2 linked regions of the Neodiprion lecontei genome follow. The protein of the gene in region 1 purifies or fractionates together with the protein of each later gene. This does not show direct contact. Links are inferred from orthologs where the notes say so. Each region holds a gene or a part of one and is shown in the gene's direction. Other genes may lie near its edges.

The links. Proteins that work in one complex are often made in the same cells at the same time.
Region 2: the proteins of ribosome biogenesis protein WDR12 homolog (region 1) and ribosome biogenesis protein BOP1 homolog purify together in Homo sapiens (affinity purification with western blotting; 6 studies listed by BioGRID and IntAct, with this or other methods). This does not show direct contact. The link is inferred for Neodiprion lecontei from reciprocal best matches to the Homo sapiens genes WDR12 and BOP1.

The regions. Positions count from the first base shown.
Region 1 is NC_060264.1:3,893,024-3,896,778, forward strand, and holds the start of ribosome biogenesis protein WDR12 homolog, read left to right. Parts: upstream 1-1,490; 5' UTR 1,491-1,620; coding exon 1,621-1,682; intron 1,683-1,876; coding exon 1,877-1,962; intron 1,963-2,048; coding exon 2,049-2,259; intron 2,260-2,375; coding exon 2,376-2,516; intron 2,517-2,621; coding exon 2,622-2,797; intron 2,798-2,937; coding exon 2,938-3,008; intron 3,009-3,124; coding exon 3,125-3,371; intron 3,372-3,466; coding exon 3,467-3,599; intron 3,600-3,697; coding exon 3,698-3,755. Other genes in the region: WD repeat-containing protein 75, read right to left, coding at 1-23, 265-440, 529-730, 803-939.
Region 2 is NC_060260.1:39,239,236-39,242,990, reverse strand, and holds the start of ribosome biogenesis protein BOP1 homolog, read left to right. Parts: upstream 1-998; 5' UTR 999-1,207; coding exon 1,208-1,336; intron 1,337-1,513; coding exon 1,514-2,344; intron 2,345-2,437; coding exon 2,438-3,116; intron 3,117-3,220; coding exon 3,221-3,430; intron 3,431-3,516; coding exon 3,517-3,755. UniProt on the Homo sapiens protein: Component of the PeBoW complex, which is required for maturation of 28S and 5.8S ribosomal RNAs and formation of the 60S ribosome.

The DNA.
Region 1 (3,755 bases):
CATAATATTCATCAGAAATGGAGCTGAAAATGTAAAAATTCTGGATATTCAGAGAGGTATGCTGAAGAAATGTATATTTCAAATTAAATTATTACATTAGCAATAAGAGATTTTAGTGCAACGGATATGTATGATACTCTGTTTTCCTTGTGGTTGAAATGAAAGAATATAAATTTTCTTTGCTCTCCCAAGCATGGTTGATTTCCAATGTACATGATGTAGTGCAGAGAAAAAAAGTGATAAGTTTCAAGTAAAATAGCGTACCCTAATTTAGTTCGTAGAGCGATTTTGCCGTTCTCTACACCAAACAATTTCACATGAATTTTCCTTTCGATAAGATAGGTGACCAGCGCTTGGGTAACGTTACTTCCATCACTTGTCCGATATCTGACAATATGAAATGTCCTAATTTTTGCATCACGATCATCAACTTGAAGATTCTGCGAATTGTTTCAGAAAATTGTTAATCCATGATGAGCCGGTATTAAGAGAACAAAAACTGATTGAGAATTTTTCTGGAACACATACTGTTTTTTTTATTATCAGACCCTTGTAGCAGTTCCAATATATCAGTTCACCGACGTCTGAGCAAGCTAAAACTACATCTCTGTTGTCAGGGTGCGAAGATATTCCTGCGATCTTGTGTTCAATTCCTTCAAATTCTCTGACCAGATCTCCGGTCCTAGTGCTGTAGGCTCTAATTGAATGCTTCCAAACGACAAATAATAACCTAAAGAATTAAATTTGAGGTTAGATAATCATCCATCAAAGTATCAGAGGCATAGGTTTATGTTTGACTTACTCTCCATCATGGGAAAATAACGGACGGTGATCGATTATGCTTCCGCCGCCGATCCTTTTCACGGTCAAGTCATTTTCCTCCTGCGGTTTTTTCTTCGGAGTACCCGATTTCGGCCCAGTCGATCGCTTCATTCGCATGTTTGACACTGTCGTTACACTGATTGTGAGTATAAGGTTAGATTAAAGCAAGTTTCTCACACTGAATAACGGTAATCTCTTAATTTCTCCCGTAGTATTCGGTTCCTTCATTAATCCTACAATTGTTACATACATTCTTATTTAAAATTCACCACGTGCCGAACTACGTTAACCGGAATGCTAGGTTGGATTAGGCCGGAATTACACCACGGCGACATCGATGTTTGACAGAAATCCGAGTCCGTTATTGGTTGATACGCCAACGCATCGCTGCAATTTCTTGTCGCTGAAATAAAATTTCGGCTTTAAGTTGAGATAGGTTAGGTTCTTAGAGCATATACGTACTACTGGACGTAGCCGCCCATGCCGTCACATCGTGAAAATTGCAGTCGAAGTGATAAGAGAGCGAGGTATATACCCGGGCATACTGGTTATAGCCTGTCTCTCTCACTCCGCATCTGATTGGCTGAAAGGAAGCGTATCTGCCAATCAAATGTAGAGCGAGAGAGACAAGCTGTGACGAGGGTATCCTCACTCCTCCTACGCATTTTCTGTACATGATAGTTGTATGTTACAAGGTTAAGTTAGATCGAAATTGTTGGTTGACAATAGGAACGGAGCGGCTTTAACTTAATAATCATTTCATCAGTTATTTCACAGTTTCAATAGCATACCGTCGCGATGGCAAGTGTCGATGACGACGTTCCGCAAATCCAAATACGCTTCACCACGAAACAAGAACAGTGAGTATATAAAAATATGAGTATGAACACACGTTTTGCTCAGTCAGGTTTTTGATGTGAAAGCTAAACACGTGGAACAAACGGCTGTCGGCTGTACTGCAGACTCTTGTAAACTGGATATAGAAATTTGATACTTTTAAAACAATGCCAATATAAATTTCACTGTTTTGTATCTACACAAATTCGATTTTCAGGTACGCTGTTCCAGACTATCCATTGTCTGTGCCATCAACAGTTTTCACTGATCAACTGAATACTATACTCAATGAACTTTTAAGAGGTGAGATTTCCTGAACTTTGGAAAAGCTCGTATCTGTTGTAGAAATATTGTACTGCAAATCTGATTCATTAACAAATGTTATACAGAATCTGCAGACTCCACTGCAACTGTAGAGTTTGATTTTCTTGTCTGCAATGAGTTCCTGCGCACCTCGTTAGCCGAGCATATCAATGAGCGTGGAGTAACGACTGAGGAAGTCGTTTCAGTCGAGTATGTGGAGCGGCATCCTCCTCCGGAACCCCAAGACTGTCTCATACACGATGACTGGGTGTCAGCAGTTGCTGTAAGAGAGAACTGGCAAGTGTTTTCAATTTTTACATCAACGTTTTCAAAATTACAGACTTTTTGGCTAGGGAAATTTACTCACACATAACAAAGCAGTAGTAATTTGCTACTTTTTCCACCAATTACAGGATACTGACGGGATGTTACGACAATACCGTGCACATCTGGAATACGAAAGGAAAACATCACCTCACAATTCCAGGACACACATCGCCCATTAAAGCAGTGGCTTGGATAACATTAGACAATGAGAGGGCGACGTTTGTTAGGTACTATAAGCGAAGTACACAACGTTCATGTTATCGCTACAAATCTACTTGCAATAAATTAATGAGATATAATACAATAACACATTAATCTCTTGCTCCTTGCAGTGCATCGCAAGACCAAACTGCCATTTTATGGGATTGGAACATCAGAAGTAACTCAATAGAATGCGTTCAAATTTGTCGTGGACATGAACGCGGGCTGGAAGACATTGCAGTCAATCATAATGCCACACTGATCGCCACGGGATCATGGGATACAATGCTGAAGATTTGGTCCACCTGTAAGTTCGAAGAGGTGCATTCTGAACGAGAGTTATTTGATGAATTAACTTAGGGCTTTGAACTGAACAATATTTGCAACTGATCTTGTACATCTTTTTAATACGATTAATAATCACATAAATCAAACTCTTTCTTACAGCTGTCGACGATCGAAACAATGACGGTGAGTCTGCCTCAAAGAAGCTGAAAACAGATCATGGTAAAGTTAGAGTGAGTATCTGTATGGCAAATTTGATTATGTTCACTATATGATTGAGAATAAAAAATACAGTAAAACTTACCAGGCCAGTTTTTTTTTATCAACAATATAATTCGGGCAATTTCAGACGCCAGAAATAACGATGAAAGGCCACAAAGAGGCAATTAGTGGTGTAGTCTGGTCAGATAAATCTGAAATAGTAACGTCGTCATGGGATCACACGCTAAAAATTTGGGATACAGAACTTGGTGGAATCAAGCATGAAATTCCAGGGAATAAGAGCTTCTTTGATGTTGCATATTCGCCGTTAGCTAACGCTCTCCTCACCGCCTCAGCCGACAGGCATATCAGATTATACGACCCAAGATCGTCAGGTGAGGATGAAATCTATGCCACGTAGTAAAATCACTCGGATATTCATGATCGTTGATGTTTGCTAACGTTGGCATTATATTTTTTTTTTTTTCAGAGGGATCAGTGGTCAAGGGAACTTTCACTTCACACACGCAATGGGTGCAGTCTGTCTTCTGGTCAACGACTGATCAATACCTTTTTCTGTCTGGAGCATACGATAACCAGGTGAAGCTTTGGGATACTCGAAGGTTTGTGCATAAAGTCTCTACACATTCTTAGACATGATTAATAAACGTGAACTTCATTTTATGTGGTGTCGATATTACCTTTCCCATTCTTCTTACAGTCCCAAAGCACCGTTATTTGATCTTTCTGGACACGATGACAAAGTTCTCTGCTGCAAC
Region 2 (3,755 bases), on another chromosome or scaffold:
ATCGAAACTCGTATCCAAATTAATGTTTCTCATGATTTTTCAGTCTATTTTTATTTCAGTGGGAAGACTCTAGCCCCAACTTCCTGGCGGGAATTTTGCCCCTTGACCCCTCTCACACCCAATTCTATGCTTCAATATCATTTTTATGTTATTGGGTTTTATGAAATAGCGTTTTTTTTTCTCTCCATAGTTCTATGTAATCTCGTGGGGCATTTTCCACCCACCGCATGAAAAACTAATGTTTACAACTCGGGCGCAGGATTTACGGCCTTATTGTAAACAGCTCTAATTACCTGCCGAAGATTTTCACGAGAAATATATTAGTAGCCTGTCGAGCGGTAGACGTTTTAAAGTACATCCAATTTAACACATTTCAATTATTATATTGTATAACAGAAACAATATACATTGTAAGAATAAATTAAGATTGGATATCCTTGTTACGTCCCCCAGACTTCATATTCCTTTCCCACACTCTTAGTTACCTTACGCTCTGTAGTCTACTCTTATCGTCCGCGAGTCAGCAGATTCTTCTGTAACTCGCGGCTAGCTTGCCTCCTACATCCCGCAAAACAAGGCAGATCCATCCTAGCGCTCAAGCAAGACACCTATCCCTCTAAACCAAGACCATACCTTTTTCCCTCGACCGACTCCGTTGCATTGACTACTAATAAACAATCATATACTTATAATCGTTTACCTTCCCTTAATACCGATCCCTTTCTATTCCATTCGCTTCCTGCATTGGGAGTAGTAGCACGCGAGTGCATAGTCGATGTGAACGGACCCTATAATAGCCAAAGAACACCTTGGCTGGGCGTGGAGTAAGCTCCGATTACCGCTCATCGGAGCCTACGCATTCTACCCCGTAACATCATCCTTGTTTGATTCCGCAAAACTCTGCAGAGATTGATTCAGAAATTTTAACAATTTCTCAGAAGTTGAAAAAATTAGTAGCATACTTATGAAACTCTCTAAAGTGAGAGCAGAGATGAGTAGGGTGAGAGCTTAAACTTTAGCGTGCTTTAAAGTATCTGCATCCGTGCGTCTGCTGGTTTGAAATGTAAATCGAGATATCGATTGCGGAAAGTTTGCGTATCGCAAGTCGAACTATCGAAGTGCAAAAGCCAAACACGTGTCCTACCTAACCTCAAAAAACAACGCGGTTGTCCAAAGCGGCTGTCTTCCAACTTGCCACTGCCTAGTGATGGGTGCCCCGAAAAAGGCAGGTAAGCGAAAGCAGGACCCAATCATTCCGAACAAATCAAATAAAGAAGAAGAAAGGGTAGAGAATGTCGAAGAACTTGAAGACGATGACGACTTGGACGAGAATTCGGTAAGACAGATAATCGAATCATTTAAATATGTATTAAACATCCTAGGTTAGGTTGAGTTGGGTCAGCTTTGAGCTTCAATAAAAAATTGAAGCAGTAATCGTAACGCAAAAATCTATTGTCATCACTGGTTCTCTTTGGCAATTTATTGTACACTACATAACACTCCGTGTATCCAGGATTTAGGATCGGAGGATTTTCTAGCCACCGATCAACTCGACGAGGACGATGACAGCACAGACGACGAAGTCGAAGGAAATAATGATGTTGTCGATTCTGATACTGAGAATGATCCAATTGTTTTTGGCTCTGATAACGATGATGAGGAACTAGAATTTGAATCTGACTCTGAAGAGTACGAGAAGGATGATGATTCTGTGAATGAAGAAGAGGAGGACGAAGAAGATTCGGAAGCAGAGAGTGACGGGTCTGTCAATTCCAAAGACAAATTCAGTTCAGAATCTGGAAACGAGCAGTCAGAGGAAGAAGTTCGGCAGCCTAAAACAAATAACAAATCTTTGGTAAAGTCTAATAAGGAAAGCAATGGAAGTAACAAGCCAGCTAGAAATGTGAATAAAAAAGTGGTAAAACTAAGCGATCATAGTGAGAAAAATTTGGATTATGGTGTAAAACAGAATAAATCAAGTATTGTGAATAGTGGTCGCAATACAAGCGACCCAGCAGTTGAAAAACTGACTAGTAATGTCGACGAATATGAACAAGACAGTTCGGATGAAGAAGATATTCGAAATACCATTGGGAATATCCCCTTGCAATGGTACAACGAGTATCCTCACATCGGGTACGACTGGGACGGTAAAAAAATTTTAAAACCAGAGAAAGGAGATCAGCTGGATAACTTTTTGAAGAGAATGGAGGATCCAGATTTTTGGAGAACTGTGAAAGACCCCATGACGGGACAAGATGTAGTACTCAGCGAAGCTGACATAGAGCTCATAACAAGAATCCAGAAGCAAAAGATACCTGATGCTCAATTTGACGAGTACACAGTAAGTTATTTGTTCCTTACCAGATTCTATTTAATACTTTCAACATATCTCTGAAATTTGTTTTGAAACTTTATTTTCCCATTACTTTTACAGCCTTGGGTCGAGTGGTTCACGTCCGAAGTGATGAAAACGCCATTGCGTAAATTTCCGGAGCACAAACGATCATTCTTGCCTTCAAAGTCGGAAGCAAAGAAAGTTTCCAAGCTAGTTCATGCTCTGAAAATGGGTTGGATAAAGTCAACAGTCGAAATGGAGAAGGAAAAACAGAAGAACAAGGAAAACAAAGATTTTTACATGCTGTGGCAGTCAGACGATCAGGCTGAGGAGATGCGGAGGATTCACAAGCACATACCGGCGCCAAAGAGGCATTTGCCTGGTCACGCAGAGAGCTATAATCCTCCGCCAGAGTATCTCTTTGACAAAAAAGAAATGAAGGAATGGAATAAGCTGAAGTCCACGCCATGGAAAAGGAAGCTTCACTTCATTCCACAGAAGTTTAATTCACTTCGTGAAGTCCCGGCTTATTCAAGATATATCAAAGAGCGGTTTCAGAGATGTTTGGACTTGTATCTTTGTCCAAGGGCTTTGAAAATGAGGCTTACCATTGACCCAGCCAGCTTGGTTCCACAGCTACCTAGTCCTCAAGATTTACAACCATTTCCCACTACTATGTCAATGGTCTTTAAGGGGCACACTGACATGATAAGATCCTTCACTGCCGAAGCTAAAGGCCAGTATATCGCTTCTGGCGGAGATGATATGACGCTTAAAAGTGAGTTGTTTTGTCGAAACTTTTTCATTGTAGGTCGATTGTAATTAAAGATTAAGGAAAAAAATTAAAACTGCGAATTAATGAATGAGTGAACATGTTTTCAGTATGGGAAATTGCAACTGGTAGATGTGTGAAGACCGTTCCTTGTGGAGGCATTATAAGAAGTGTTGCATGGTGTCCAAATCAAGCAATTTCGCTGATAGCCGTTGCTGCAGATCAGAAAGTTTTGTTAATCAACCCTGGAGTAGGGGACCACTTAATCACAAGCAAAACGGACCAGCTTCTAGAAATCATACCTCAAAGCGATGTAATAGGTAATAAATTTGTTAGCATATGTGACTGTAACTGAATCCAGGAAACTACTTTCCAATGTACTAAATTCTTTTTACTTGTATTTCAGTGAATGAGAGGGTAAGGACGGCAGTTCAGTGGGAACAGGCCGAAGGTGAAAATTGGCGAAATGGTATCAGAGTAATATTGAATCACTTTAAAGTTGTGAAGCAGGTGACTTGGCATGCGAGGGGTGACTATCTAGCCACCGTTATGCCCGATGGGCAGAACAGATCTGTTCTAATAAATCAGTTGTCAAAGAGGCGTTCGCAATTGCCATTCAGCAAGTCCAAGGGACTAGTACAATGT